Cricetulus griseus: one gene and its partners. The protein of the gene in region 3 purifies or fractionates together with the protein of the main gene of each other region. This does not show direct contact. Links are inferred from orthologs where the notes say so. Each region holds a gene or a part of one and is shown on either strand. Other genes may lie near its edges. The genes, in order: cotranscriptional regulator FAM172A, Fbxo42, Skp1, Fbxl18, Fbh1, Bcorl1 and Zc3hc1.

Region 1 (4,145 bases), on a different chromosome or scaffold from region 3:
CACCAATTACTACAGTATTGTGAATCAAAACCATAGATAGTCCTATATAGGTATGAGTATGGCAATTACTGTTTTAACAGGTTTGGTGAATGTGGAGAAATATTCACAACACTGTGGGAAAATTAGAACCCTGTGCACTACAGGTGGGAAAGAAAAACCAGGAAGTCATTGTTGCTCAGATTTTTGTCACTATAACAATTACTAAGCTGATCAACCTATAAAGAGAAAAGGTTTACTCTGGCTCTCAATTTTAGACTTTTTGGTACATCTGTGGCTGGCCTTGCTGCTTTTGTAGCTGTGGAAGGGAGCACATTATGGTGCGAACAGAAAGAAGCCCAAGGCAGAGAAAAATGCTCATTTATTAGTCAAGAAGCAGAAGCATACAGAGGAGGAAGGTATTAAGGTTACACTGTCCTCTGCAAGGTCATGCCCTCAATGGTCTAAAACCTCCAACCAGGACCATCTTTTTCATCATAGCACTTCTCTAGGGACCAAAACTTAAGATATGAACATTCAAGATATAAGGTATTCCAAATTGTTTCATTTGTGAATATATAACCAGAAGAAATGAAAGTAAGACAGGTGTTTATGCACACAACAGAATCATTTACAGTAGCCAAAAAGTAAAAGCAACCCAAGTTTCCACAGATAAACAAATAGGTGAAAAGGAAAACGTTTATACAGTGATGATTATAGTCAGCTTTTAAAGGAAGGGCTTTCTGACATATGGAATAACATAGTTGAAACTTGGGAACATTATTCTAAGTTTAAAAAGCCAGTCACAAAAGGACAAACGCTATTTAAGTACACTCATATGATGTGTCCATAGACGAAGAAAGAAGCTCCATTGTTGCTAGGGGCTAAGGGTAGTTGACTATGAGGAATTAGTGTTTAAAAGGTACAGAGCTTCATCTAGGGAAGATAAAAATACTAAGACAAACAGCAATGATGGTTACACAACGGTATAAACATATGTTGTGTTAGTCAACTTAATCCTTGAAATTATTAAAATATTTTATGTTAGGTACATTTTACTATAGTGTTAAAGTAAAAGAAAAGTAAAATTAGCACAGAGAAGTATTCGGTAAATACTGATGCTATTGGGCAAACTCAATCTAACAAAAACAAAGGCAGCACATGTTACATCAACTGACTAAATATTGGTAGTTTGGGTAAAGCCTAATGAAGAGCATGGAAACACCTTAATGTGCACTGACCTGGATCCTCATCACCATGCTAAGTTGCTTGTTATTAAACATGATCTCTCATGAACATAACAAATCACTGAATAGTAAGTCTCCATACTGGTAACCCTGCATCTTTACTATTCCAAGTGACAACAAATGTATTTCAACCTCTCCTAGGTGTTCACATAAAACATACCCCAGCTACAGAGTCAGCCTCTTAATCAGTTCAGACCTCTACTCAACTACCACTTTAGCAAAGAGACTTCTCTAGCATAGCACTCCCATCATCCTCTCCCCCCTCTACTTGCTTCATTTTTCCTTGCGATCCTCACTTTTTATGCATTTGCTTATGGATTGTTCTCCACCCACTAGAATAAGAGTACACAGGAGTTTCTATTTTGTTCACTACTGTCTTCTCTTAACATGGACATTTCCTGACTTATTGAAGGTGGCTAGTCAATGTACTAGATGAACAAAAAGAGCAATGCTCACAGCTTTATAGATCCTATTTCGCTCTTGGCCTAGATACTGTTCTACCATTTGTAAGTGCTGCTGCAGTCACAGTCAAAAAGCTATTCCAGTCAGTTTCACTGGTTGAAGGGACCAGACTCCTAGTTTAAAACTAGGAAGGTTTACAGAAAGCTCTGCCACTGAAGCCTGAATTTAGCACCTAAAGAATGCTCTGATTCAGCTTCAGAATGAGTAAGGTCATGTGTCCCTTTCAAGAATGGATAAAGAACAAGGAGAAACAGAACACTTTTGACAGTGCATTAAGACAAAGACAAACCATGAACTTTAACAGCAGCACCACACTGCACCTATTTATAAACAAACAAAACAAGGCAGTATCAGGTTCAGACCACAAAACTTTCCCTCAACAACTTTTTTGAGGATTTGGGGAAAACAGACAATGCTTTTTGTCTTTAAAACGCAGCCCAAACACAGGTAAACAGAAGTTACTTGGCCCAAAAGGTTTAGAAAACGAGAAGCACAAGATGCTGCTTCCAAATGTAAGTAACTTTAGGAAGAATATATACATTCTACTAAGGTTCATACGATACAAGCTTGGAGGGTATTTTATAACTACACTTTAATGTTTGCAATAAATGTATGCCAAAGCTTTAGCGGTTAACGCTTTTTGCATAAAAACATACAACTAAAAACAACTTCAACCAGACAACTGCAATTCAGTAAGTGGAGGATCCCTTGCTGTGTCTAAGGTCTCTGGTGATAACCAGAGCCTCGTGGGCTCAGATAGCAGGCTAGCCACCCCAGGACACACGTGTTCCTCCGGCCTGGAGAGTGGATAAGGCAGATGGAGGCAACCCTCTGCAAGGTCTTGGACACAGGTCAGAGATGTGCCCTGGAGACGATGCGTGGCTTATGACAGTCAGGAACGGGGGATCGGGGTTGGGGGGGGAGTGGGGGGAGCCTTCCGCCCCAGACCCGGCCAGGCCAGCCCCTCCTGGGTCTCGCGGCGGGCGGGCGGGCGCAGAGGTTGCCAGTGCGGTCCTACCTGAGCTCTGCCCCCAACTGCAAGGCTGAGGGGTTAGCAGGAGGAGGCGTGGCTTTCCAGATCGCAGGGCGAACTCCCTCCAGCGCTTGCTACCACTTTCTCTCTCGGGATCCGCGCCCCGACCAAGTTCGAGTTGCACTTCCGGGGTCTGCAGGGGACGTACACATCATTACGCATGCGACGGCCGCAGCGCCACCAACCCGGAAATGGGCGGGGCGGGACTCTGCCTGTGTTTCTGAGGCGCTGGAGGTGCTGCCAGCAGGAAGCTGGCCGGTGTTAGTGGAGAGCCTATCCTAAAGCCTGTTCTGGAAGAGGAATTCCAATATTCTCTGTGAGGCTGGCCTTTAGTGAATTCCCCAGGCTGGTTCATGGTTTACGTGGCTTCATTCTGCCTGTGCTCCTCAAGATGAGAAAGGAGGCCCATGCTTGAAAGATTGCATTTACCCCAAAATTAAGAGGGGAAGTCAATGCTAGCATCCTAATGACAGCTGGCTCAAATGGGAAGTGCCTTGGTGTTCTGCTTTTCCAAAAATGTTTGAAAGATGCATCTCTTAAGGGGTAGATTAGGGGTGAGCAATAGGCGCAAGTGGTTTAAATTTTTTTATACACTATTCTGATTTGTTTTTAATTCCAAAACCACTGTTTGGCCAATGAAAGCCAAAGCAAGCACTGGAGACAGGTAAAAGACTGGCCCCTCCGGTAACCGAAGGAAGTCTGACAGCTAGCAAACCTGCATTTGTAATATTTTCAAAGAGGAGGTTCCAGAATTCTTGAAAGTATATTGTACCTCACTCCCATAAGGTGTACTTCTCCATCTCAGCTCCTGCTTCCTTCAGAACAAAAGACAATGATGTGATTTATTGGCAGTGTGCCTGATCCACTAAAATGTCAACTGGATGACAGCAATGACTTTATCTTGTCTTTTTTAAGGTATCCTCAACCAGGACAACATGCCTGTCACAAAATATATAATAAAAGTCATTTGACATAATTTCTGTACTATTACACTAGTTGGAGAAACTTAGTAACAGATAGGACAGGAGGGTGGGAAGTCTGGGGAGGTAAGAATGGGTGAAAAAAATGTAGCAGTGTAAAGGAATGCTCTTGAGGAAAAACAACCTATTGAAACAAGCCAAGAATGTCTGAGTGAAAGCTATAACATTGAAGAATGTTAGGGTTTCATGTCAGGCTACAGTGAAAGTAATTTGTAGGGTAGAACCTTCTACTGAAGAAAAGAGGCTCTGAAAAGCTTTGTATACCGTGAGCAATTTGAATTTTGTGCTTCAGACGGGGGTTTTTCAACCATAAAAAGCAGCATACTTTCATTTTGGTAGACTGACAACCGTGAATAAGTTCGTTAAAAATAAACCTGCAGGGCTCAAGAGATAGTTTAGCTGTTAAGAGCATTTACTAATCTTCCAGAAAACCTGGGTTTTTTTTTC
Region 2 (4,265 bases), on a different chromosome or scaffold from region 3:
AAATAATACACTCAGGCACACACAGTATTTATTTGTGTGTGCACACAAGTGTCATTGTTAAAGAATGAAGGTCAGAGGGTAACCTGCAGGAGCTAGAGTTGATTCTCTCCCTCTACCTTGAGGCTCCTGGTCTTTAAGCTTGGGGCAAGCATTCTTACCTGCTCAGCCATTTTGCAGGCCAAGACTTTCTTTTTTGGAGATGATTTTTCACTATGTAGACCAGGCTGGCCTTGAACTCAGAAATCTACCTACCCCTGTCTCCTGAGTGCTCGAATTAGCAATGAACTTCCATGACATGCCAGTGGAATTTCTTAGTTTCTCACACACTGTATGTCAGGGGGTTTTGTAATATTTGTTTGAGGAACATAAAAGTTTCAAAGATTGAAACTCCTCAAACTGGTTTTGAACTGGAATCAAGTAATTCTTGCCCTTAAGCCTTCTGTGTAGCTGGGACTTAAAGGAGTGCCACCAAGCCTTGTGGTACTTAGCTTCTGACCCAGTCCTATGTCCCAAGACCTAGCCTAGGAAGTCTATTTTATCCCAGGGCAAATTGCTCCGTGTTTTAGGATATTCCAGTTGCACAAGAGTTGAAGCGAAGCAAAGCCCTTGAGTCTCTGTATCTGGCATTTACTTAAACCAAACCTGAGGGATAATTTCTAGACGGCTCTCACCTACACACGTTTTCTTGTTTTCTAGACAGGGTTTCTCTATGTAGTCCTGCCTGTCCTGGAACTCGCTCAGTAGACCAGGCTGTCACCAGCCTCTGCCTCTGGGATTAAAGGCATGAGCCACTACCGTCCGGCTACTTTTATTTTTATTTTAAATGAAGTAGTTCTTTTTATTTTATATACTTTTTCTTTTGAGACAGAATCTTGAGTATGTAGCTCTGGCTGTCCTAGAACTCACTATGTAGACCACCGTCTGGCTTTGCGGGACCCCACACCCTGGTGGTGGCCACAGTGGGAAGCACAGAGCAACCCAGAGGCCTGTTTCCTCCTGGGCCCCCGCTCTACGTGGGCAGCTTTGAGCCTGGGCTTCCTCATTTATTTAAAAAAGGAAAGGAAAGAGAAAAAAAAAGGGTGGTAGCAATATAGCTGTTGCTACAGTTTCCAAAGGCTTCCAACGCGGTGAGATGACCTGCGCTCGCCACCGCCCTTCTCTGTGCTCAGTGGGTACCCTGGGGGGGACACAGGCGACTTCTTCTAAGTCTCTAGTCTCAAACCAACAGGAAGGCAGCCCAGGGACCCGCGCCGACTCCAGACAGTCCAGGAGCGCTCAGCTCCCTTCGGCCCTTCTCAATATGGCGCCGCCCAGCGGCCACCGCGCGCAGGCCGGCCGCGCTGACGTGTGTGCGCGCGCGCTTCCTCTGCGCCCCGCCCCGGCGCATGCGCACTGCGCGCTGTCTTCTCCCAGCCTGAGCAGCAGCGGCGGCGGCGGCGGCGGCGGCGGCATCAGGGACAGCGGCGGCGGCGGCGGCGGCGGCGACGGCCGCGGCGGCGTTTGAGTGGAGGAAGATGGCGGCTCCGGGCGGCCCCGGGTCCCGCCAGCTGTGACGGTTCCCCGAGCACGGCGAGCACCGGCCTGAGGCAGAGTGGCCGTGCTCCGGCCCTGGCCCTGGCTCCTTCGCCATCGTCGCCGGAGACGCGAAGCCGAGAGCGCGGAGCGGGCTGGGCCAGGTGAGGCCTCTCCCGGTGCGCGGCCGCAGCCGGGCGCCGACGCCTCCTGCGCTTCATGCCCGGGCACCCCGGGCACCCCGAGTCCGGCGCGGGCCCCGTGTACTGCGCGGGCTGGGTCTTGGCGGGCCTGGGGTCTTGCTGTCGTCATCCTCGGTGCCCCTGGCTGAGGTGGGGACAGGCGCCCCTTTGCAGCCTGCCCTCGGGATGGGCGCAGACCTGTGCCCTCTCCTCAGCAGGGTGGTTCTGGTCCTCACTCGCCCGGGCCGGGAGAGGATGCGTGGCCAGGGCACGAATGGCTTTCGGGGTGTCACCGAGCCTCACCCCGCCCCCTGAAGCCCTTAAGTCCTCGGAGAAGAGCGGGAGACGGCTGCCCTCCCGAACTGGGGCTGCGGCTGCGGCTGCGGCGGCGGCGAGGGGCTGGCGTCTGGGAAGCTGCGGCTACAAAGAGATGATTTTTTGGAGCTGGCTGACAAATTGAAACACAAGCAGTTCCCTTCCTGACCCCTAGCCGTTTGAATGTTCTCTTAGGAGTGGGAACTGCAGCTCTCCTTGCTGGAGACAGCAGCAGTCCACGCTGTGACTGAGGAAGGCTTGCCCTGATGAGAATTGTCTGTTCAGAGAATTGTGGAGGGTGGGGACGAGTTTGTGAATCGAGAAAAAAATATAATTGGGTGAGATCCTGGTAGTCTTGAGCAGAGAAACTTCAGATGATGGAGTTGGTTCGAAACCTTTGGAACAACCGATTGCTTGCTTTGTCTGTTGGATATTCTGAGTTTTAATAAGGAAATAAACGCTTCGTTTCGTTTCTCAATGGCCAAAATGTTTGGACCCTTCTGTAGGAGCGTTCCGATGGATCTAGATGCAGAACCAGACACATAACCGGTTTTCACTTGCTGGAGGCAACACTGTACTATTTTGTTATTTTTTTCCCCCTTGCAACAACTTTTTATTGTTGTTGTTGAAATGTAGTAGTTGAGAGACTTTGTTTAGTTTTTCGGGTAGAGGAGACGGTTTGATGCCTGGTGGCCTTTTCATTGAGGAAGAATAGCTTCAGTTGGAATTGTGTTGTGAATTGTTGGGACCATCTCTTTGGCTTGGACACACCAAACGTCTTTTGTAACAAATCGGGCTTTGCTTGTGCTTAAGAATGATGACATCATGGATTTAAAGGGACAAGGGAAATTGCCGAAGAAACACCCTCACTTAGAATTCAGTCTGTAGCTCTTAAGCTAGAGAGGGATGCTCTCTCAAATTCTAACAGAGCTTATTCAGTTGTCTAGTGTGGTGGGGTGTCTTTTCTGTTGCACGCTGATCAGTTTGTATATTATAGCTGTTTGCTTCAGATAAACCCAATTTAATATAGCATTCAATCTACATTGAGCCATGAGTTGTTGTTGTTGTTGTACTTCAGCCAGCTTTTTTGTTTTGTTTTGTTCTTCGAGACAGAGTTTCTTTGTGTAGCTTTGGAGCCTATCCTGGCACTCGCTGTGGAGACCAGGCTGGCCTCGAACTCACAGAGATCCTCCTGCCTCTGCCTCCCGAGTGCTGGGATTAAAGTGCGCCACCAACTCCTGGCCTTCAGCCAGCTTTTAATGCCAACTATTAAGTTAAAATTACAATTATTTCATCTAATATTAGGCAGTTTTTTGGCCATTTTTCCTGCTTTCTTAAGTCAGCGTTTCCTATAGAAATGAGTAGATTTCCTTAGTGTCTTTGCCAAAGATAGAGACTTGAACCAAGGGTAGGAGATTGGAGGGCCATTCTGAGTGTTAATTTGCTAGTAGAGGGTCCTGGAATCAGTGGTGGTTTGACATTATGCTCCTTGGCATCAACTGTTGTGTTGCTATGCTACGTAGTCATCAGGTATTGATGGTGGAACTCTCTGCAGCGTTTTTGCTAAGTTTCCTTACCTGTCTCAGGAAAAACAGCTAAGGAGTGTGTGTGTGTGTGTGTGTGTGTGTGTGTGTGTGTGTGTGTTGTTTTGTTTTTGTTTTTTGAGACAGGGTTTCTCTGTATTGCTTTGGAGGCTGTCCTGGAACTCCCTCTATAGACCAGGCTGGCCTCGAACTCACAGAGATCCACCTGCCTCTGCCTCCCGAGTGCTGGGACTAAAGGCGTGCGCCACCAACGCCCAGCATGTTTTTGTTGTTTTATTTTTTAGCTTGATCCATTTCATTTTATGTGTACAGGCATTTTGTCTGCATGCGCATTTGTGTGTACCATGTGTGTGTGCCTGGTGCCATGAATCCCCCAGAACTGAAATGATAGGCAGTTGTGAGCTGCCATGTGGGTACTGGGATTTCAACCCCAGTTCTCTGGAAGAGCAGTCAGTGCTCTTTAACCTCTGAGCCATTCTCCAGTCCCCGTTTTATTTTTATATTATTAAAAACAATGTGTATGTGTGTCTGTGCATGAGAAAGAAAGGGAGAATGAGATTTAGGGACAGGGCTAGAGAGAATCCATATGTTAGCAGAGGCCAGAGGCATCAGATCCTCTGGAACAGGAGTTGCAGGTGGTTGTGAGCCATCTGGTGTGGATGGTAGGAGTTTAACCTGGATCTGCAAGAGCAGTAAGCACTTTTAACCACTG
Region 3 (3,364 bases):
ATTTTAGGACATTTAGGGCTACATAGTAAGACCTTGCTTCACAATAAAGTATGGAAAAAAATTGCAAATATTTGAAAATTCAGTAATTTCCTAGTTATTTATCAGCCAAAAGAAAAAATTTAAATTAGTATTTTTAACTGAATTGAGATAAAACAATTAAAATTTGGGATAAAGGTAAAGCAGTATATTAGAGGAAAGTTAGTAAAAGGCGAAGTTAAATTAAAGTAATTAGTATTAAAGGATAGAGAATTTCATTAAAAGATGTATGTTTTAAGCTCAATTTGATGTAGCTTGTTAATTAAAGATTCAGTACACATGATTAAAAACCAGCTGTCATTTACAGGCTGCAAACTACTTAGACATCAAAGGTTTGCTTGATGTCACGTGCAAGACTGTGGCCAATATGATTAAGGGGAAAACTCCTGAGGAGATTCGTAAAACCTTCAATATCAAAAATGACTTTACTGAAGAGGAAGAGGCCCAGGTAAGTAGGATACAGCCTATTTTTGATTACTTTTTTAAAGAAACTGGAACCCAGTAACAGTGACAAAAAAATGGTGCCTATCATGAGGTCTTGGGCTAGGGCTACAGCTTACCTAGGATGCCTTTTTAAATACCTTGTGGTGCATGCCTTTGATCCCAGCATTTGGGAGGCCGAGGCAGGCTATGAGTTAGTCAGCCATCCAGGGTTATATAGAGAAACTTTGTCTTAGAAAACCCAGTAACATTAACAAAAGTCTTGATACAGAGGAATAATGTGCACCTCTGTGTCTCACATACTACTCACCTGTTTCTGAATCTAAGTACTTAGATGATACTGTTTTGTTTCTTTTTAATTAATTTTTTTTCAAGACAGGGTTTCTCTGTGGCTTTGGAGGCTGCCTTGGAACTAGCTCTTGTAGACCAGGCTGGTCTCAAACTCATAGAGATCTGCCTGCCTCTGCCTCTGCCTCTGCCTCTGCCTCTGCCTCTGCCTCCCAAGTGCTGGGACTAAAGGTGTGCGCCACCAATGCCTGGCTGATACTATTCTTGAAGACTTTTAATTTTTATTCATGTGTGTGAGCATGGTGGCCAGAAAAGGGCATCAGATACTCTGGAGTTCTAGTTACGGTGGTTGTGGGGTAGGAACTAAATGAAAACAGGATTCTTAACCTCTGAGTCATGTCCAGCCTGATACTATTTTTTAAAATATTTATTTATTCGTTATTTTATTTGTATGGGTGTTCTGTCTTCATGCACACAGAAGGAATTTGATCCCATTATAGATCCTTGTGAACCACCTTGTGGGTGCTGGGAATTGAACTCAGGACCTCTGGAAGAGCAGCTAGGGCTCTAAACTGCTGAGCCATCTCCATCCCCCCAGTTGTCTTCCCCCCTTGTTAACTGTAAACATAAGAAAAATGAATTTTGGGCTGGGCGTTGGTCATTCCCGCCTTTAATCCTAGCACTCGGGAGATAGAGGCAGGTGGATCTCTGTTGAGTTCGAGGCCAGCTTGGTCTCCAGAGCAAGTGCCAGGATAGGCTCCAAAGCTACACAGAGAAACCCTATCTCAAACAACCCCCCCAACCCCCCCACCTCCCACCCCGCAAAGAAAAATAAAAAGAAAGTGGAGCCTGATAGTACGTACAAAAGTGGATAAATGTAGTTTGTTTACTAGCTTGGAGAGTGGGACTAGAGCTCCCAGTTGTATGTGCTGTTTGATGTACAGTGGGAGTCACCAAGTCTACTCTTCTTTCCTGGTACTTTCCCAGCTTCCCATCTGCTCTTCTCACATCACATAGGCTACTGATGGGATAGTATAGGTAGTGTTTAGCCATCTCACAAAAGACCACTAAAGGTATTTACTTGTCTGTCTCTTCCAGGTACGCAAAGAGAACCAGTGGTGTGAAGAGAAGTGAAGTACTGTGCCTGACACTGTAACACTAGAAGGGTTGTTCTAAATGCTAGTTGCACTGCTTTGTTTATAATTGTTAATATTAGAGAACAGTAGACAAACACAGCCTTGTCCTCACTGCATGTGTAGTTCCAGTACAGATCTGACCTATGGCTGAGTTTCTTCTATATGAGTAGAAGTTTTTGTTTTTTGGTTGTTTTTTTTTTTTTTTTTTTTTTTTCTTCATTACTCTGAATAAAACTGAACTTTGGGTTCTCTGTGGAAAGTGGCATTTGGGCTTTCCCTCTTTCTGTAAAGCCATTTCTGCCTAGTTCATTGTCCAGTTAATTTCAGTGAGCCTTTGTAAGTTGGCATTGTAAATAAAACAACTTATGAGAAGTATTCTGAAATAGAATTAACAAAACATGATCTTTGTTCATGAGTCGGAAACTTGAACAAGGCAACTTGAAGTTAATGTTGTGAGTGGGGTTGTTAGAATTAGGATGTCTTTCATCCTCTCTGCTGCTGGTAAGCTTGTACACAGCTGGGCTCTCTTAATTGGATCTGAGGACTTATTTTATCTTTTTTTTTTCCTTTAATTTTTAATCTCAGCTTTTAATATGTTGCTAGAGATGTAGTTTACTACCCAGTTTGGTTTTGGAGGGGGCTGTAATTAGATTATTTTCTTTGCTTTTCAATTAAAAAAGACTTACTTCATGTGGTATGTCATCTTTTTATCATCATTGTTCCCACATGGGGAAAGACACTACTTGCATGTAAAAAATTATTTAATCTTTAACATTAAAGTGTACCACAAAACTCAGAAAACAGCCTTACTAAGTGCAAGATGCTTTTCAATAAAAAGTAATACAATAGGTAGTAAACAGTTGCTTTTGTGGATATAAATGTGTCTCTTCACTTAACATATTGTTTGTTTTGGGGGTTTGTTTTTGTTTTGGGGGGGCGGTTCTTAAGACATGGTTTCTCTATGGCTTTGGAGGCTGTCCTGGAACTAGCTCTTATAGACCAGGGTGGTCTCGAACTCACAGAGATCACATTCCCTCTGCCTCTGGAGTGTTGGGATTAAAGGCGTGAGCCACTACCGCCTGGCTAAGTTTGGTTATTTTTTAATTGAAGAGATTCTTAGGTGGTTTGTCTTTAACTGGAGACTCTTAGCATTTGTGTGGTTCCTTGAAACCAAATGTTTAGTCAGTTCTTTTTTTTCTTTTTAAAGTAGTTTAATTACATTTTTTAATTTTGTGTGTGTACTTGCATGCTTGGTACACACAACTGTGACACATTTGTGTTGGTCAGAAGATGACTTGTGGGAGTCAGTGCTCTCCTACCACTTGTGTGACCCAGAGATCAAGCTCAGGTTGTCAGACTAGGTGGCAGGCACCTTTGCTTACTGAGCCTTCTTACTAGTTTGCCCGTCCTCCCTTAAAGCTTTGCTTAGTTCCTTTTTTTTGGGGGGGGGGGTGTTCGAGACA
Region 4 (3,688 bases), on a different chromosome or scaffold from region 3:
CCAGGGATCCAAACTCAGGTGCTCATGCTTGTGTGGCAGGCTTCTCAATACTAAGCTGTTTCCCCAAAGAATAAGAGAGACCGCCAGTTTAAGGTCAAGCTGACCGTCTAGCACTGAAATCCATGCGAGAACTGGTGGTTGGAAGGAGGACTCAGGAGAGAAGAGGTCGTAGGAAGCTTTAAGGGTAGTTCTCTCTCTCAATTTATTTATTGTGTAGTGTTCTGCCTGCATGTATGGATATCAGGAGAGGGCACCAGATCTCATTATAGGTGGTTGTGAGCCACTTTGTGGTTGCTGGGAATTCAACTCAGGACCTCTGGAAGAGCAGAGCAGCCAGTGCTATTAACCTCTGAGCCATTTCTCCAGCCCAAGGGTAGTTCTTTTTCTTTTCTCTTTCCTTTTTTTCTTTTTTAAGGTTTTTTTTTTTTTTTTTTTTTTTTTTTTGTTTTTTGGTTTTTCGAGACAGGGTTTCTCTGTGTAGCTTTGGAGCCTATCCTGGCACTTGCTCTGGAGACCAAGCTGGCCTCCAACTCACAGAGATCCCCCTGCCTCTGCCTCCTGAGTGCTGGGATTAAAGGCGTGCACCACCAACACCCGTCGAAGATCTTTTTTTAAAATTTTATTTATTTATTATGTATACAACATTCTGCTTCCATGTATATCTGCACACCAGAAGAGAGCACCAGATCTCATAACAGATGTTGTGAGCCACCATGTGGTTTCTGGGAATTGAACTTAGGACCTCTGGAAGAGCAGCCAGTGCTCTTAACCTCTGAGCTATCTCTCAAGCCCCCTGGCTTTTACTTTATAATCCTGCCTCATCCTCCTAGGTGTTAGGATCACAGGTGTGTGCCGTCACACAGATACATGGGTAGTTCTTAACTTACGACTTCATTTTTTTGCTCTGAGACAACACAGGGTCTAGTGAAGAAGGGAATGGCTGGGGCTGGAGATGAAAGCAGAGCTTTGGGCTCAGGTGGAGAAGGAACCACTTGGAAGCATAGGATCAGTGTGTCCCAATGCCTCTGCCTCCCGAGTGCTGGGATTAAAGGTGTGTGCCATCAACAGCTGGCTATTATTATTAGTGTGTGTGTGTGTGTGTGTGTGTGTGTGTGTGTGTGTGTGTGTTTGTTGGGGTATATGCATGTGAGTGCAGTTGCCCACAGAAACCATCAGATTCCCTGGAACTGAAGTATAGGCAGGAGCCACTCAACATGGGTGCTGGGAACTGAGCTCTGGTCCTTAAGAGCAGTATGCACTTGTAACCTCTGAGCCATCTCTCTAGCCAGGACTATGAGATCTACATATTGGATGAAAGAACCGACATCCACTACTTTACAAGTTGTTCTCTGATCTAATACAGACACTTGTGCACCAACACACACTCTCTCTCTCTCTCTCTCACACACACACACACACACACACACAGAGTTACATGTATGTTAAAAAAGGGAAAATTCAATATAGTATGTACCTATGAAAATTGCTAAGTGTCTTGTGTGAAATTTGCTCTTTCTCAGGGAGATGTGCCTGGGGAGCAGAGTGGCAGAGGATAGGCTGTGGTTCAGGGGCCTGTATGCATTGTATACTGGAAAGGCTGTTAGGGGGCTGGGATGTGGCTCAGCTAGAGTGCTTGCCTAGCAGACATGAAGCCCTGGGTTCTATTTCCAGCACTGGGTAGACTGGGCCTGATGGTGCATTCCTGTGATTCCAGCACCCGGGAGGTGGAGACAGGACGATCAGGCCAGTTTGTGGTCAGTTTGGGCTACATGAGACACTGTCAACAAGGAAGGAAAGGGAGTAGAAGTGATTATTGGGAGCCAGGCGTGGTGGTACATGCATATATATTGCCAGCACCATGTTCAAGCTCATACTGGGCTACATAGTGAGTTGAAGGCCAACCTGGGCTTTATAGCAAGCTCCTCCCCCCCCCGTTTTTTTTGGGGGGACAGGGTTTCTCTGTGTATCCCTGGCTGTCCTGGAACTCACTCTGTAGACCAGGCTGGCCTTGAACTCACAGAGATCTGACTGCCTCTGCCTCCTGAGCACTGGGATTAAGGTATGTGCCACCACCACCTGGCAGAAAGTTGTCTAAACACCCAGGAAAAGCCAGAACATCAGGGAGTTGGCTGAAGGTGGCCATCAGTGGTTTTCTCACCTCGTGTCCTGGTTTGAGTTCTAAGAGAAGATTCTGGGAACTCTGTTCTTCACCCTTTGGTGAAGAGTTGGTAAAATTTCTCTACTGTGGGGGTGGGCTCCTCCTGTTTGTGCATCCCCAGTTCTGGGATTGCAAGCAGGTGCTACCTTGCATACCTTTTTATGTGGGTGCTGGGGATCCAAACTCACGTCCTTCTGCTTGTCCAGCTAGCATCTAATGACTGGTCCACCCCCTCCCTCTGTTGTCCCTCACTTCTAGGACATGTCCAACGATGCTGCTGCTGCCCCCACAGCTGCAGAGGCAGCAGGTGACACCCACCTGCTGGGCTTCTCAGATGAGATCCTCCTGCATATCTTGAGCCATGTCCCCAGCACAGACCTGGTTCTCAATGTGCGGCGCACCTGCAGGAAGCTCTCGGCCCTGTGCTTGGACAAGAGCCTGGTGCACACCGTGCTGCTTCAGAAGGACTACCAGGTGACTCAGGCATGGGTGGAAGGTCAGGATCAACCAACGTGCTAGCTTGTGGGGGCTGGTGGTACTGATGTTTGCACAGAAGACTATGTAGCTGGGAAAAGCCACACATTAGGATTCAGTGACAGACCCAGGATAGAAGAGGATAGGTGGTGTGTCCCATGGCAGGAGGGCATAGAACATGTGGATGTAGTTCTGGGAGGGAAGAGCCTGGGCCTCAGATACAGGGCTCAGCGGGGGACTCCTTCCCCATAGGTACCCTAGGGTGGAGTTATTGCACCACAGGGTAGATTGTAGAAGGTCCCTGTGAAGTGACACAGTGGATGGCACAGTTGACATTGCTGCAAAATGAGTCCCCCATTGCTCAGGGCCGAAGTAGAAGTATCTGATTAACCTGGGACATGAGCCCACTGTGGTAGGATACACATGTAGTCCCAGCACTCAGGAATTTGAGGCAGGGTGATCACAGCTCAGAGCACTTTAGTAAGGCCTTGTCTCAAACAAAAAGAAATAAAAAACCCCAGACAGGTGTGCCTGATGGCATAGGCCTATAATCTCAGCATTCAGGAGCCAAGGCCAGATCTGTAAATTCAAGGCCAGACTGGTCTATACAGAGTTCAAGGCCAGCCAAGGCTACAAAGTGCGGCCTTGTCTTTAAAAAATACATGTCTCTCCTGCCCTGTCGCATTCTGCAGGCCAGTGAGGACAAGGTGAAGCAGCTGGTGAAGGAAATTGGTCAGGAGATCCAGCAGCTGAACTTGGCAGGCTGCTATTGGTTGTCGGGCTCTACCATCGAGCATGTGGCCCGCTGTCACAGCCTGGTGAAGGTGAACCTGTCAGGCTGCCACCTCACCTCCCTGAGGCTGTCTAAGGTGCTTTCAGCCCTGCAACATCTGCGCTCACTGGCCATCGACGTGAGCCCCGGCTTCGATGCCAGCCAGCTGAGCAGTGAGTGCAAGGCCACGCTGAGCCGAGTACAGGAGCTCAAGCAGACGCTGTTCACACCATCCTATGGTGTGGTGCCCTGCTGTGCCAGCCTGCAGAAGTTGCTGCTCTACT
Region 5 (3,688 bases), on a different chromosome or scaffold from region 3:
CATTCAGCAGCCTGGAACACTAATTCCCCAATCAAGTGCTCTGCTCCACTCCAGAGTGAAGAGCTGATCTCAAAGCATCACTCTTTTTGGTGAAAAAAGATACCTTTAATAACATTTCAGGGGCTGGACATACAACCAGAGCAACATACCACACTACTATGGACTGAACTATATGCCCCTCCTGAAATTCAAAAGCTGAAGCCCTAATACCATAAAAGGACTGCTGAAAGAAAGGAAGGAAGGAGAGAATTATGATTCAGTGCAGTTACAAAGCTACAGCCATGATCCACTCGAACTCATTTTTAAAAGAAGAGACACAATGTCAAGTGTTCTGTCTCCCCTGCTTCCATCTCTCTCTTCCTGGGATACAGAGAAGATGACTCACTAGGAACCCAATCTTCCCCACCTTGTTCTTGGATCTCCAGCCTCCAAAAGGGCAAGAAAGCAAATGTCTGTGGCTTAAACAACCTGGTTTATGGTACTGTTATAGTGTCCATAAACACACAGAATTGTTCTGTACTACCTTACCAAGGATGATGAGGTCACTGCTGTGTTTCTCTAGGGGCTCACTAATCGCAGGGGTCAGTCTTTTCCTAGAGATGAAACCCTCTGGGTTTCTACCTCTCTAGAACTGGATGCATGATGGCTGCCTGTCTTCACCACTTCAGATGAAAGGGCAGGCCATTCCATATATACCACCCATACTCAGGATTTTAAAGATCTGCCCTCCCCTGGTCCCCAGACATCTCTCATAATCTTGCACTAGCTTCTCCCATATTCAATGCACTCTGCCTCACTGAACTTTCCTGGTATTTATCAAATTAATTCCAACTTTGGGTCCTTAACTTACCTCTTCTTTCTCTTAAAATGCTCTTTCTCATACCTCCAAATGGAGGTTCCTCTTTGACATTCAGACTTCCTCAGAGAAGTGTTTGCTCATTCCATCTAAAACAATGATCCCCACTGCCCTCTCACAGAGCTCTGCTCCACTCCCATTACAACACACATTCCCTAAGGCGGCTGTGTGCTTATGCACTGCCTGTCTTCTTACACTGCACAGGCAATGTTAAGTATTTTCACAGTGGACTCTCTTGTGCCTGGACAATTTCCAGCTTGCTATTTATCTTTGCATACTTTATCACTGTCAAGATAATGGTGAATGAGCAACCAACACTCTAGGCCTTTCTTATATTAAGAAGACACAGTCATTAAGACTCCCACTATAGTCCGCTCCAAAAGTGAGCAAGGGAGAAAAAAAAAAAAATGCTAACGTTTTCCTAGAAATATGTAGCCAGGTGTGAGTACTGTGAGGCATTTCACCTTCACCTCTAGCTTCAACACCCAAGAACATAGAAACTATGTGAAGAAATCTTAGTTGACCAGCAGATGATATTCACAAAGCACTTGGAATTGCATTTCCACAGCCCAGTCCCCTTACACACTACACAGGGAGAAAGGAGGCGCTAGGACAAGTCTAGGGCATTGTGATTTATCATAGCAGCTCCTTTCCAGGGTGTTACCTATTGCTGATGTTAATCCCCTTCTCCCTCATGGCATAAAGGAGCACAGCTATGCAGTATAAGGTCTCGGTGACATCTGGCATGGTCACTGTGGAGCTGGGTCTCCTGAGGCAGAAGAGCAGATGCTGGATGTCGTTCACGCAGCTGGAGAGGAGCACCATGACAGCCACCAAGGCCCAGACGTTAATGCCCTTCAAAGAGAGGTATACAGGATAGGAGGAGAAGCTAGACTCAGCCACAATCTGGAAACTAGTGAGGAAACTGATAGACATTTCCAGCATCTTATTTTACTGTGAATCTATAGTAAGACATTTAATCTTTCTGCCTCTTTCAAATTACCCAATGTATCAACAAGGAGAGAGCCACCTCAAGGGCTAGAGAAATGGCTCAGTGATTAAGAGCATTTGCTGTTCTTGTCCAGGACCTAGGGTCAGCACCTACATGGCAGCTCACAACCGCCTGTAACTCCAGTTCCAGGGGATCTCTTCAGACCTCCACAAGCTCCTATACTCATGTGTGGACCTATCTACATAAAAATATATATATAAATGCATATATTGGGTTGGGTCTGCTTTTGTTTTGTTTTGTTGTTGTTTTTGAGATAGGGTTTGTCTGTTTAGCCCTGGCTCTTCTGGAATTTGCTCTGTACACCAGGCTGGCCTCAAACTCAGAGATCCACCTGCCTCTGCTAGAATTAAGGGTGTGTGCTACTACTGTCTGGCTTATATTATTTTTAAAATATAAATGGCTATCATAAAGAAACCCTATCACTCCAAGTGTTCAGAGACTAGATAACTAGCATTCAAGAAGCTGAAAATAGGGCCTTTTATTTCTCCAAATAGATCATTAACAAGATTAATGCTATTCAGAGATTCAATCAAAAATTTGAATATTGGGCTGGAGAGATGGCTCAGCAGTTAAGAGCACTGACTCTTCTTCCAAAGCTCCTGAGTTCAATTCCCCCGCAACCATATAGTGTCTCACAACCACCTTGAATGAGATCTGGTGCCCTCTGCTGGCATGCAGGCAGAAGACTCTATGCATAATAAATAAAAAAAAAAAAACTTTAAAAACATTTTTGAATATATATATTATCTTCAATTAATCTTAATCAGCAACAGACTTCCAGTGAGAAATGATGTCACCATCCCCCAAAGTAACCCCACAACCTCTCAGTTCACATACCCCAGCAGATGCATAGAGGTCAGGTAGTTGTTGGCGCATGCACGCCTCAGCCTCCAAAAGCAGAGGGTGATCCCTCAGGCTCCACAGCACCCTCTCAGGGTCTACACTTGGGGAACATTTGGTAGTGGCTGTGTATCTGTAAAAGGCTCAGGAAATGAGTCCAGAAGGAAGACAATCGTGAGGAAAGACATGAGAAAGGACTTTGAAAACTGTCTCACAAACTGGAAGAAAGACACTCACCGGATGAGGTTCAGCACACATAAGTCCGAGTCCTTTTCTATGCCATGGCTCAAGAGAATGCCATCCACTTTGCTGACAGCCTGCTCTTCATTTATCAAGTATCGATGATACAGCTTTTTCCAAGGAATGAACTATGTAGTTGAAAAACAAAACGAAATAACATCCAGGCCATGATTCTTAGAAAGACTGAGACACCAACAAAGAAAACCTACCAAATACAAAGCAAATACAGCTCCCAATCCAAAGCTGGGCAGACCAGGGAGAAACTGTCTGCTTGAGTTGGAAACTAGGACAACTGGGCCTTGGTCTTGGCTCTAATACAAATGTCACAGGAGCTAGGAAAAGCTAGCACTTGGTTTTCTTATCTGAAGTACCAGGTGAGCAGCACTTCCAAGTTCCAAAAGCCATACTCACCTTAAGTCAACTGTTACATGACACAAAGGAAGGCATGATGGAATGATAATGCTACACAGTGACATCTTCACCAAAATGTGACAACATAGAGAGTAACACCATCTACTAGAGTATACAGATACGAAACAAACACTGACAGAACTGAATGAAGAAATATTTGGCAGAGATGTGTAAAGAGATGCTGGATTTGAACACACTACAGACTACTGAACCTAACAGATCCATACAGATGCTCAATCCAACAGGAGCAAAATCCAATCTCATCCCAAGCCCCATGAACATTCTCCACACTGGATCACATCCGGAGTCATAAGCCAGTCAATCAATTA
Region 6 (4,385 bases), on a different chromosome or scaffold from region 3:
TCTTTTAAGCTTCTCTCTTTATAGACCTTCCGTTCCCCCCTTCCTCCCTCGGGTCTCCCCGGCAGCCCAGTTGCTTCCACAGGCAAGCAAGGGCTGTCCACTGAGGGTGACCCAAGGTTTTTGCAGCCCGGGAGGTTGCCACGAAGAGTGGGCCGAGCGGGAGTCGCGAGACGAGGCGATGAGACCAGGCATTTTCCTTTCCCTAGCACCTGTCCCACTTCGGCAGCCGGGCTGGGGCTTCGCCGGAGCGCGGCCTCAGTTCTGGAGCGCCAGAACCACGCACCGAGGTCGCCAAGGGTGGGGGGTCCGAGGAAGGGCGGGGTGTCTGGCGGGGGCGTTCCCTTCAGGCAAGACCCCCTCCCTCCTGCATAGACCGAGTCAAAAACGGGGAGAGCGTGTTACATACAAAACCAGAGCGAAAACGATCGCTCTCCGACCCCGAACGGCGTTGCGGCACCCCCCCCTCCCTTCCTGGAGCGGAGAGCTGGCTGGGGAAGGTGGCTCAGTTCTTCCCCCGTGGCCAGTGCGGGGTCTGCGGCTGCCCGGCGAGGTTCCGGCTTCCCCGGGGCTGGTAGGGGGGAGCCCCGAGAACTGCAGGCCCGCCCCCTTCTTCCTCCTCCTTCCCCTCCTCCCCCACGTGTCCTCCCGGAGCCCAGCGGCCTGATCCCAGCACCCCCCTCCCGCCACCTCCCTGCTACTCCCGCTTCGCCCGCTTCCCGGGCGGTGTAGAGAAGAGCAAAGTTGCGACAGCAGCCAGGGGGCTCTGCCCAGGTGAAGGGGGCGCTGTGACGGGGGCGGGAACGGCGTGGCCCTGCGGCGGGGGTTGTGTGTGTGTGTGGGGGGGGGAAGGATAAAGAAACTTGCTTTCCGCAGCCCCCACCCTGAGCGGGTTCGGATCTTGCGTGAACCGAACCCTCGTGGAGACGCTGCAACGCCGCCCGGACCGAGGCCGGCACCCCGACCCGGACCGCGCGCTTGGGCGGGCTAGCGAGGGCACGCAGGCCGGCACCCAGGCAAGGGCGGGGTGGGTGACCGTACACCGGACCGAACCACGGACTCCGGTGGCGTGGGCTAGGGCCGAACCCGGACCGGGCCGAGTTGGGTGGCGAAGTGGGACGTGGATTCGGGGGGCGGGGCGCGGCGGGAGGGGGGGAAGCAGGCCTGGCCTGACTGGCCTGGGCGTGGGGCGGGGGGCGAGTTCGGGGGCACTTGCTGGGCTCTGGACCGAGCGCTAGGGCGGGGCGGCGCTAGGGGCTGGGCCCGACCGGCGAGGAGAGGGCGAGGGGAGGGAGAGCAGGGGGTGGAGTAGGGGCGTGGAGTTGCGAGCGGGGTCTGGCCTCGGCCGGGGGCGAAGGTAGATCTGCGGCCGAGAGGAGCGGAGGGAGGGAGGGAGGCCCGAGGCAGCGCCGGCGGCGGCGGCGGCGGCGGGCGGCGGCGAAGGCCAGCTTCCGCGGAGTTTGTGCCCGGGCTTCTCGGCTGAGCTCCGGTCGCCTTATGCGCACAAATGGGGTTAGGGGACTGACTGGTAAGCAACTCCCAGTGTTAGACGGTGTTCCGTGGCGATTCCCGGAAAACTGAGGAAAGACGCCGTCTGCAATATGCCGCACCCCCCACCCACCTCTTAGCATCTGGATTCTGCTCTTTGGGGGCCGCGGACCCTCCCCACCACAATCCTTTCACTCTTTCAGCACCCCTTCTTCTCCCCCTCATCCTTGGCCATCTGGATCTCCTAGGGGTATGCATTTGAGGGGTGGAAGGCGTCGGGGGTTGCACTTTTTCCTCCCTTGGGGACAGCCTAGTTTGTATCCTATTCATGTGAGGTAACGTCGCTTGGCGTCGTGTGGACACTGGGGTTTAGATAATTTCACCCTCCCTTCCAGGGTCTTTGAGGGCTTTTAAGGAAAAGGACGGATCCCTGGATTTTCCTGACTAGAATGGGGTTTGAGGACTGGGATTTACTCTCAGCTCACTTCCAACACCAACCTCTTTACTGTGAACCATGTCTGTGGAGACTCGAAGGTGGAGGGTGGGTTACGGGAGCATTAATGTGCTTCTATATCTTTCTACAGGGTCGGCGTGGCGAAGGACAGCTAGTGTCAGAGGAGAAGTAGACGCCAGTTCAACTCCGCTCGCCCCCACTATTACTTCGGTGAGGGGGACAACGCTAAGGGGACGCTGGTGGGTTGGGGCCCAGGATAAGAGTAGGGGCGAGTAGTCGCCTTCCCCCAACGGATTCTTCCCTGTTAGGGGAGAGAAAGGCGAGCCCCAGCTTCGGGGAGGGTTCCGGGGAAGGAGATGGAGGGTGGCGACGACGGTGGGGGGGTGCGGGAAGAATGGAAGAGTCACACCCTGCTTGCAAGGGGAGCCTCCCTCGGGCTCCTGGGAAAAGGGGACTGAATACGTGTGCTCTGTGGTACCGGGGCAGGGGAGGTCTGGGGATGTGTTCAAAGAGTCATTTGCACACTGGTTCTGTCACTAGTGGCCTGAGAAAGTCAGGTCGGGGCATAAGGTGGAGAACGTTGGAAGGAAGGCAGACAACCGACGCTCTGGCCTCAGTACCCCGATCATCTCCCTTCCTCAACCTCCCTCTTGAGGGGCGTCGGGGTGGGGGGCGTGGAGCTCTTGGAGCCCCGCGGATTGAGTGCCTCCGCCTTTCTTGGGAGTCTATCTTTTTGCCCAGCTTGCTACAGCTACCACTGCCTCCCTCTCCGGAATCCGCTGGGTTCTCTCAGCGATCCCCTCCTCCTCCTCCTCCCCTCCCCTCCCCTCCCAGTGTCACCGGGGCTGCTTGGCTCTGCCCCCTTCGCCGCCGCTTGCTCCCAGCTTTAGTCCCTCCCTCTCATGCTTGCTCCCTCCCTTCGCCTCCTCCTCCCCCCCCCCCCCCGCCTAGGGAGCATTCTGGGAGTTGTAGTATCTTTCAGCGCTGGCTGGCGCCGCCCGCGAACAAGGCCGGACTCCACTTCCCGTCGAGCTCTGCGACCGGCACCCACTCCACCAGGCTTCTCTCACACACACAGGCACACACACACCGCTCTCCCCCTCACTCTTTCGCTCGCCGCGGCGCTGCCAGTGTGTGGCTCTGTCTCTCCTCGGCTTTGCTGAGCCCTCCCTTCTTCCTCTCAGTTCCTAGAGTCCGACCGCCGCCGCCGTGAGAGGAGAAGGAGGTCGGTGGCGATAAGGGGCGGAGGGGGGCATCGGATCCCAGCAGTGTTAGGCGGGTGGTGGTTCAAAGAGGGTGAGAGGGAGCTCGGGTGGCGGCCTGAGCCTCCCTGCGGAGCCGACCCGGGAACAGGTGCGTCTTTTTTCTCTCTCCCCCAACCCCTCCACCCCTTTTGACTCCCCGGCTTTTTCGTATTTCCCCACCCGCTTCTTGCTATCCTAAGCCTTTCCTCAACCCTGTCCGTTCCTCTGCCCTCAGCCTCTCCGCTTGCCCCCCGGGGGCGCCGTCCTCTCGGTGTCCCCGGACGTAGAGCTCCCTGGAGCTCTCTCTGTGCTCGCCCCTCCCTTCGGGACAGCTCCCCTCCACTTCCCACCTTCGTACCCCATCCGTGCCCTGCCCTATTCCCTTTTCGACCTCCTTCTCTTTTAGCCAGGTGAGACTTGTTCTCCACGATCCAAGAGAGTCTTCCTCTTGGCTGGGCGGGGGTCTCCATGGAAACGGGGGTCGTTAGCTACTGTAGGGGGGAACCATAGGAATTACCCCACTCTACAGAAAGGGAGGTGGAGGCTACGGTCTTGGAAGTACCTGGCCCCAAACCCTGATCCAAGGATCCGACGATCCGAAGGGAACCTGGCCAACAGGGTAGGGCGAGAAAGGGCTTGCTATTTTTTTTTGGGGGGGGGGGTGTCCGTGATGAAGTCTTGAAGAGACCGGGAGAAAATGCTCTCCAACCTTAGAGATGGAGGTGCGACGGGTGCTCTCAGGGTTGCTTTCTCCCCTGTTCTGGGGTGCAGGAACCATAGGGTAAGGGGTACCCCTAGGTGGCGGCGGGGCCTGGGTTCGGGAGTGGGAGTGCTGTGATGGGGGCAGGGGCAATTATCCGAGTCCCTGGAAAAAAGGCGGGGGATGACTTCGGAGCGCCCAGGCTCCGCTGCCCTCGCTCTAGGGGCGGGGGCTACCGGGCCAGGCGAGGCGGGGAGGGTGCTCCAATTGAAGGAGGATGAGATGGGGGCAATTCATACTGGCCCCGGCAAGCCTGGTGGGAGACTCGGCTTGCAAGCCCTCAACCCGCTTCGCGCCAGGCCTGAAGGCAAGGGGTCTGAGAGGAAAGCCGAGGGCTGGAAAGGAGGGAGGCTCCGGTTACGGGGCCGGATTTCGGGATCAGGGGCAATCCCCTGGCCCCTGGAGAAGGAGGGAGAGGGATGGCCGCGAACCCCAGGGTTCC
Region 7 (4,425 bases), on a different chromosome or scaffold from region 3:
ACTTGGGAAGCAGAGGCAAGTAAGTAGATCTCTGTGAGTTCTAGGCCAGGCTGGTCTACAAAGCAAGTCCCAGAACAGCCATGGCTCTGTTATACAGAAACACTTGTCTCAAAAACAAAACAAACAAGAATATTCTTGTTTGAGGAAAACAGGATGTTTTCAGGAAAACTAGAAATATCTTTGGAAGCTATTTTCAGTTTTGCTGAAATTTCTGGCTCTTGGCCATCAAGGCATATAAACAAATTCTGGACTAAGAAATCCTTTGTCCCTTTCTCTTTTGGAAACAGGGCCTTCTTATAGGGCTCTGGCTGACCTGGAACTATGTAGACCAGGTGGCCTCAGACTTGCAGAGATCTGCCTGCTTCTGCTTCCTGTGTGCTAGATCCGTAGGTTTCAGGCTCCAGCGTTTGAGAACAGTGCTGGAGTCAAGAGTCCATAGGAAATAAGTCTTCTTTTTTCACTCTTCCTACACATCTGTCATCCAGCTGGAGATTTTGGAAGATCTCTTGCAGATTTCTTCCCAACAACCTCATCTGCCTCAGTACTAAGATTGGGGTTCATTCCCACATCTCTGTTGTTCTATTTTTAAAAAGTGATCGCCAGGTGGTGGTGGTGGCAGCGGTGCACGCCTTTAGTCCCAGCATTAGGGAGGCAAAGGCAGGCAGAAGGTTTGTTTATGTTGTGTGTATATATGTGCGCCTGAGCATATGTATGTACACCATATTCATGCAGGTGCCCGGGGAAGCCATAAGAGGGCATCAGATTCTCTGCGTTTGAATAAAAATAATTCTTTAGCTGGACGTTGGTGGCGCACGCCTTTAATCCCAGCGCTCGGGAGGCAGAGGCAGGCAGATCTCTGTGAGTTTGAGGCCAGCCCGGTCTCCAGAGCGAGTGCCAGGATAGGCTCCAAAGCTATACAGAGAAACCCTGTCTTTTTTTTTTTTTTTTTTTTTTGAGGCCAGCACTGAGTTGCAGGCCAGCCAAAGCTGCACAGAGAGATCTTGTCTTGAAAACAAACAAGAAATTTATTTACCTAAATATGCTAGTTCACCTGATAAATCACCTACGTTCAATCTTTTTACTTATTTATTATGTATCCAACATTCTGCTTCCATGTATATTTGCACACCAGAAGAGGGACCAGATCTTATAAGGTTGCTGGGAATTGAACTCAGGACCTATGGAAGAGCAGTCAGGGCTCTTAACCTCTGAGCCATTTCTCCAGCCCTCTACGTCCAGTCTTAAACATTGTAGTCTTTTTGTTTGTTTTTCGAGACAGGGTTTCTCTGTGTAGCTTTGGAGGCTGTCCTGGAACTTGCTCTGTAGATCAGGCTGGCTTTGAACTCCACAAAGATCCGCCTGCCTCTGCCTCCCGAGCGCTGGGATTAAAGGCGTGCTGGAGTTAAAGGTGTGTGTTACCGCCCGCCAGGCCCTATAATCACTCTTTAATCCTGTTAGATAACCAGGAAGGCAGAGGACCTGAGGTCTGTATTTAGAGAGGCCAAAGGGGTGGGTCTTAACTCAGAACGGAAGTTCCTGAGCCTTCAGACGCCTGGGGACAGAACTGAGGAACGGACCAAGATGGCGGCTACCAGTGAGGGGCAGCTGTTTGCCGCGGGTATTGAAAAGACTTGGGGTGCAGTTGTTCGGTCCCCTGAAGGGACACCCCAGAAAGTTCGGCAGCTGATAGATGAGGGGATTGTCCCGGAAGAGGGAGGCACAGAACCGTGAGTGGCTGTGGAGACTTGGGCCTGGAACGGGGGCGGGGGCGTGGCGTACGGTGACTTCAATCCGTGACTCGGTGGCTGGGGTTGAATTCTTCCTGGGGTCCGAAAGACGCTGGGCTTCTCTAATGGCTTGGCTTCGATAGCCTCCGGATATACCTGAGGCTGCATCACTAGCGAAATCTTGTTAAAAGCCTTTTTTGAGGGCGAAGACTGTTAGCAGAATAAGCAAACCTGAATACTAATTAGGGTTCATGCGCCGGGTGCTCCCAGTCTGAGGACGCTTAGGAAGGAACCCCTTTTCCGAGGAGCACTCTTAAAAACGCATAAAGCAAATGTATACGGGATCATAATTGAAACCAAGTACACGGTAAAGTAGTTATCAAGATAGTCAAGGGAAGTTAGGTGGTGACATGCCATTTCCCTCCCGCCGTCCTTCCTTAATTAAATAGTTAATGCTGGGCGGGGAATACAGCTAGCCCAATGTGCACTAAGCCCCGGATTTGGTCCCTAGCACTACATTAAGGCGGCAGTAGCGGCACACAACTCTGAGGCGTTGGGGGGACGGGGGTGGCAGAGCTAGGATCTGAAGTTTCAGGCCAACTTGAGGCCCTGTCAGAGAGAGATGTGGAGAGTGGAGAGAGGAACAAGAGAGAGAGAGTTAAAGTGAGTACACTTTTTTTTTTCTTGGTGACAAATTCACAGATACTGCTTAGGCTACAGTGGGTTTGGCTTTTCTTGGTTTTTTTTTATGTTTGTTTGTTTGTTTTTGTTTTGTTCTTCTTTTTCCGAGGCAGGGTTTCTCTGTGGCTTTGGAAGTTGTCCTAGAACTAGCTCTTGTAGACCAGTCAGGTTTGGCTTTTCTTAATCTTGAAATTGAAGCCATGCTATATTTCTCAGAGATTTATGAAATAAATGTTATATAATTCTCATGTAGGTTTAGGGATCTTCTGATCCCCCCACCCCAAAGAACGCCTCCTTCTTGAGGTTCTCTGTAAATGTCTGAGGAAGATTCTTGGAATATTTTTTTTCTTTCAAGTCACAGTTATTGGTGTTATCTTATTGCTAAAGGGGTTTCTAGCTGAGAATAGTGGCTTACACTTTTAATACCAATGCTTGAAAGTCTGAAGCCTATGTTACAAAAATGAGATCCTCTCTCTAAGAAACAAAACAGAGATAGTCCAGATGGCTCGGTAAACACTTGCTGTGCAAACCTGATGACTTGAGTTTTCGCCCTGAAACCCACTTAAAGGTGGAAGGAAAGAACTGATTCCTGAACTCTGGAGGCATGCCATGACACTCAAACTCACACTCATATATCACACACATGCATGCACTAAAAATAAGTAAATAAAATAAATAAAACAAATAAGCAAACAAATGGGTTCTTTCTGTAAACCAGGCTGGCCTAGAATCCACAGACCTGCCTGCCTCTGCCTCCCCAAATGCTGGAATTAAAGGCGTGTGCCACCACTGCCCAACTTCAAATGGGTTCTTGTTTTAACAGTTCTGCCTTCTCCTATCCCAGGAGGGATGTGGAAGGCTGGTGGGTGGAATGCCTTTCATGTTTGAAATGTTTGGTTTTCTTTCTTCTTCTTCTTCTTCTTCTTCTTCTTCTTCTTCTTCTTCTTCTTCTTCTTCTTCTTCTTCTTCTTCTTCTCTTCCTCCTCCTCCTCTTCCTTCTCCTTCTCCTCTTCTTCTTCTTTTGTTTGTTTGTTTGTTTTTCAAGACAGGATTTCTTTGTATAACATTGGCCTTCTGTAGACCAGGCAGGTCTCAAACTCTCAGAGATCTCCCTACCTCTGCCTCCTGAGTGGGATTAAAGGTGTGGACCACCACTGCCTGTCCTATTTGGTTTTCTTTACATTGTATTTTTCTGAAGCTTCTTTTTGAAATAGAAAAATCTTGTCTTTGACTTTGAATATCCTAATTGAGGTTTGAGAACAAGGGTCCATGTAGATAGCAATATTTTTGTTATTCTCTCTCATATGAAGAGTTAAATTTCTGGTCCAGCAGGATGGCTCATTAGGTAAAAGTGCTTGCCAGGAAGCCTGGTGACCTGAGTTCAAGATCTGACTCCACAAAGTTGTTCTTTGACCGCCATACATGTACCCGGAAGCATTCATTCACATATATATCACATATACACACACATATGTATGTGTGTACACAGTAGTAATCCCAACACTTTGAGAGGCTGACGCAGAAGGATTGCTGCTGATTCCAGGCTAGCAGCCTGGGTTACAGAGTGAGACTCTGTCTCAAAAAAAGAAAAAGAATTTTTTCTCCAAGGTGGTTTAAATTGTATTATTATTAGTTAATACCTGAATCCTTGAAGGCCTTATTTTGTATTTACTAAGGTTATGGAAAATATTATTGGAGAACTGTGAATGAGCTAGGAGAGTGGCTAAACTTTAAAGAGTTGTGTCTGCCAGATTGAAGAATTCAGAGTCTATTTAATAAGTATTATGAAGAAAAAGGCTGTATTAAGCAGAGGAATGGCCTGACTGAAATGGTGACAGTTGAAATGATTTTTATAAACTTGAAATCTAGTTTGGGTTTGATTTGTAATATGTGTAGAATAGCTAGACTCAGAAGATTTAAGCAGAATATTACAGAGACGAGATCAGTAACACTCCTACTACTTGGTTTCAGAAAGGACACATCTGCCACATTCCAGTCAATCAATGGATCGCCTCAA

Evidence for each region.
Region 1: the proteins of Skp1 (region 3) and cotranscriptional regulator FAM172A purify together in Homo sapiens (affinity purification with mass spectrometry; 3 studies listed by BioGRID and IntAct, with this or other methods). This does not show direct contact. The link is inferred for Cricetulus griseus from reciprocal best matches to the Homo sapiens genes SKP1 and ARB2A.
Region 2: the proteins of Skp1 (region 3) and Fbxo42 purify together in Homo sapiens (affinity purification with mass spectrometry; 8 studies listed by BioGRID and IntAct, counting the BioPlex papers as one, with this or other methods). This does not show direct contact. The link is inferred for Cricetulus griseus from reciprocal best matches to the Homo sapiens genes SKP1 and FBXO42.
Region 4: the proteins of Skp1 (region 3) and Fbxl18 purify together in Homo sapiens (affinity purification with mass spectrometry; 3 studies listed by BioGRID and IntAct, with this or other methods). This does not show direct contact. The link is inferred for Cricetulus griseus from reciprocal best matches to the Homo sapiens genes SKP1 and FBXL18.
Region 5: the proteins of Skp1 (region 3) and Fbh1 purify together in Homo sapiens (affinity purification with western blotting; 8 studies listed by BioGRID and IntAct, with this or other methods). This does not show direct contact. The link is inferred for Cricetulus griseus from reciprocal best matches to the Homo sapiens genes SKP1 and FBH1.
Region 6: the proteins of Skp1 (region 3) and Bcorl1 purify together in Homo sapiens (affinity purification with mass spectrometry; 3 studies listed by BioGRID and IntAct, with this or other methods). This does not show direct contact. The link is inferred for Cricetulus griseus from reciprocal best matches to the Homo sapiens genes SKP1 and BCORL1.
Region 7: the proteins of Skp1 (region 3) and Zc3hc1 purify together in Homo sapiens (affinity purification with western blotting; 9 studies listed by BioGRID and IntAct, with this or other methods). This does not show direct contact. The link is inferred for Cricetulus griseus from reciprocal best matches to the Homo sapiens genes SKP1 and ZC3HC1.

What each region holds. Positions count from the first base shown.
Region 1 is NC_048595.1:298,681,901-298,686,045, reverse strand, and holds the start of cotranscriptional regulator FAM172A, read right to left. Parts: upstream 2,877-4,145; 5' UTR 2,704-2,876; intron 1-2,703. UniProt on the Homo sapiens protein: Plays a role in the regulation of alternative splicing, by interacting with AGO2 and CHD7. Seems to be required for stabilizing protein-protein interactions at the chromatin-spliceosome interface. May have hydrolase activity.
Region 2 is NC_048595.1:12,099,451-12,103,715, reverse strand, and holds the start of Fbxo42 (F-box only protein 42), read left to right. Parts: upstream 1-1,442; 5' UTR 1,443-1,676; intron 1,677-4,265. UniProt on the Homo sapiens protein: Substrate-recognition component of some SCF (SKP1-CUL1-F-box protein)-type E3 ubiquitin ligase complex. Specifically recognizes p53/TP53, promoting its ubiquitination and degradation.
Region 3 is NC_048600.1:66,413,825-66,417,188, forward strand, and holds the end of Skp1 (S-phase kinase-associated protein 1), read left to right. Parts: intron 1-343; coding exon 344-484; intron 485-1,863; coding exon 1,864-1,899; 3' UTR 1,900-2,760; downstream 2,761-3,364. UniProt on the Homo sapiens protein: Essential component of the SCF (SKP1-CUL1-F-box protein) ubiquitin ligase complex, which mediates the ubiquitination of proteins involved in cell cycle progression, signal transduction and transcription.
Region 4 is NC_048597.1:79,453,394-79,457,081, reverse strand, and holds part of Fbxl18 (F-box/LRR-repeat protein 18), read left to right. Parts: intron 1-2,416; 5' UTR 2,417-2,419; coding exon 2,420-2,632; intron 2,633-3,324; coding exon 3,325-3,688. UniProt on the Homo sapiens protein: Substrate-recognition component of the SCF (SKP1-CUL1-F-box protein)-type E3 ubiquitin ligase complex.
Region 5 is NC_048596.1:228,531,108-228,534,795, forward strand, and holds part of Fbh1 (F-box DNA helicase 1), read right to left. Parts: intron 3,077-3,688; coding exon 2,946-3,076; intron 2,842-2,945; coding exon 2,706-2,841; intron 1,712-2,705; coding exon 1,521-1,711; intron 1-1,520. UniProt on the Homo sapiens protein: 3'-5' DNA helicase and substrate-recognition component of the SCF(FBH1) E3 ubiquitin ligase complex that plays a key role in response to stalled/damaged replication forks.
Region 6 is NC_048604.1:21,119,934-21,124,318, reverse strand, and holds the start of Bcorl1 (BCL-6 corepressor-like protein 1), read left to right. Parts: upstream 1-1,451; 5' UTR 1,452-1,525; intron 1,526-2,069; 5' UTR 2,070-2,149; intron 2,150-2,995; exon of another isoform or gene 2,996-3,292; intron 3,293-4,385. UniProt on the Homo sapiens protein: Transcriptional corepressor. May specifically inhibit gene expression when recruited to promoter regions by sequence-specific DNA-binding proteins such as BCL6.
Region 7 is NW_023276806.1:197,435,201-197,439,625, forward strand, and holds the start of Zc3hc1 (nuclear-interacting partner of ALK), read left to right. Parts: upstream 1-1,551; 5' UTR 1,552-1,581; coding exon 1,582-1,727; intron 1,728-4,379; coding exon 4,380-4,425. UniProt on the Homo sapiens protein: Required for proper positioning of a substantial amount of TPR at the nuclear basket (NB) through interaction with TPR.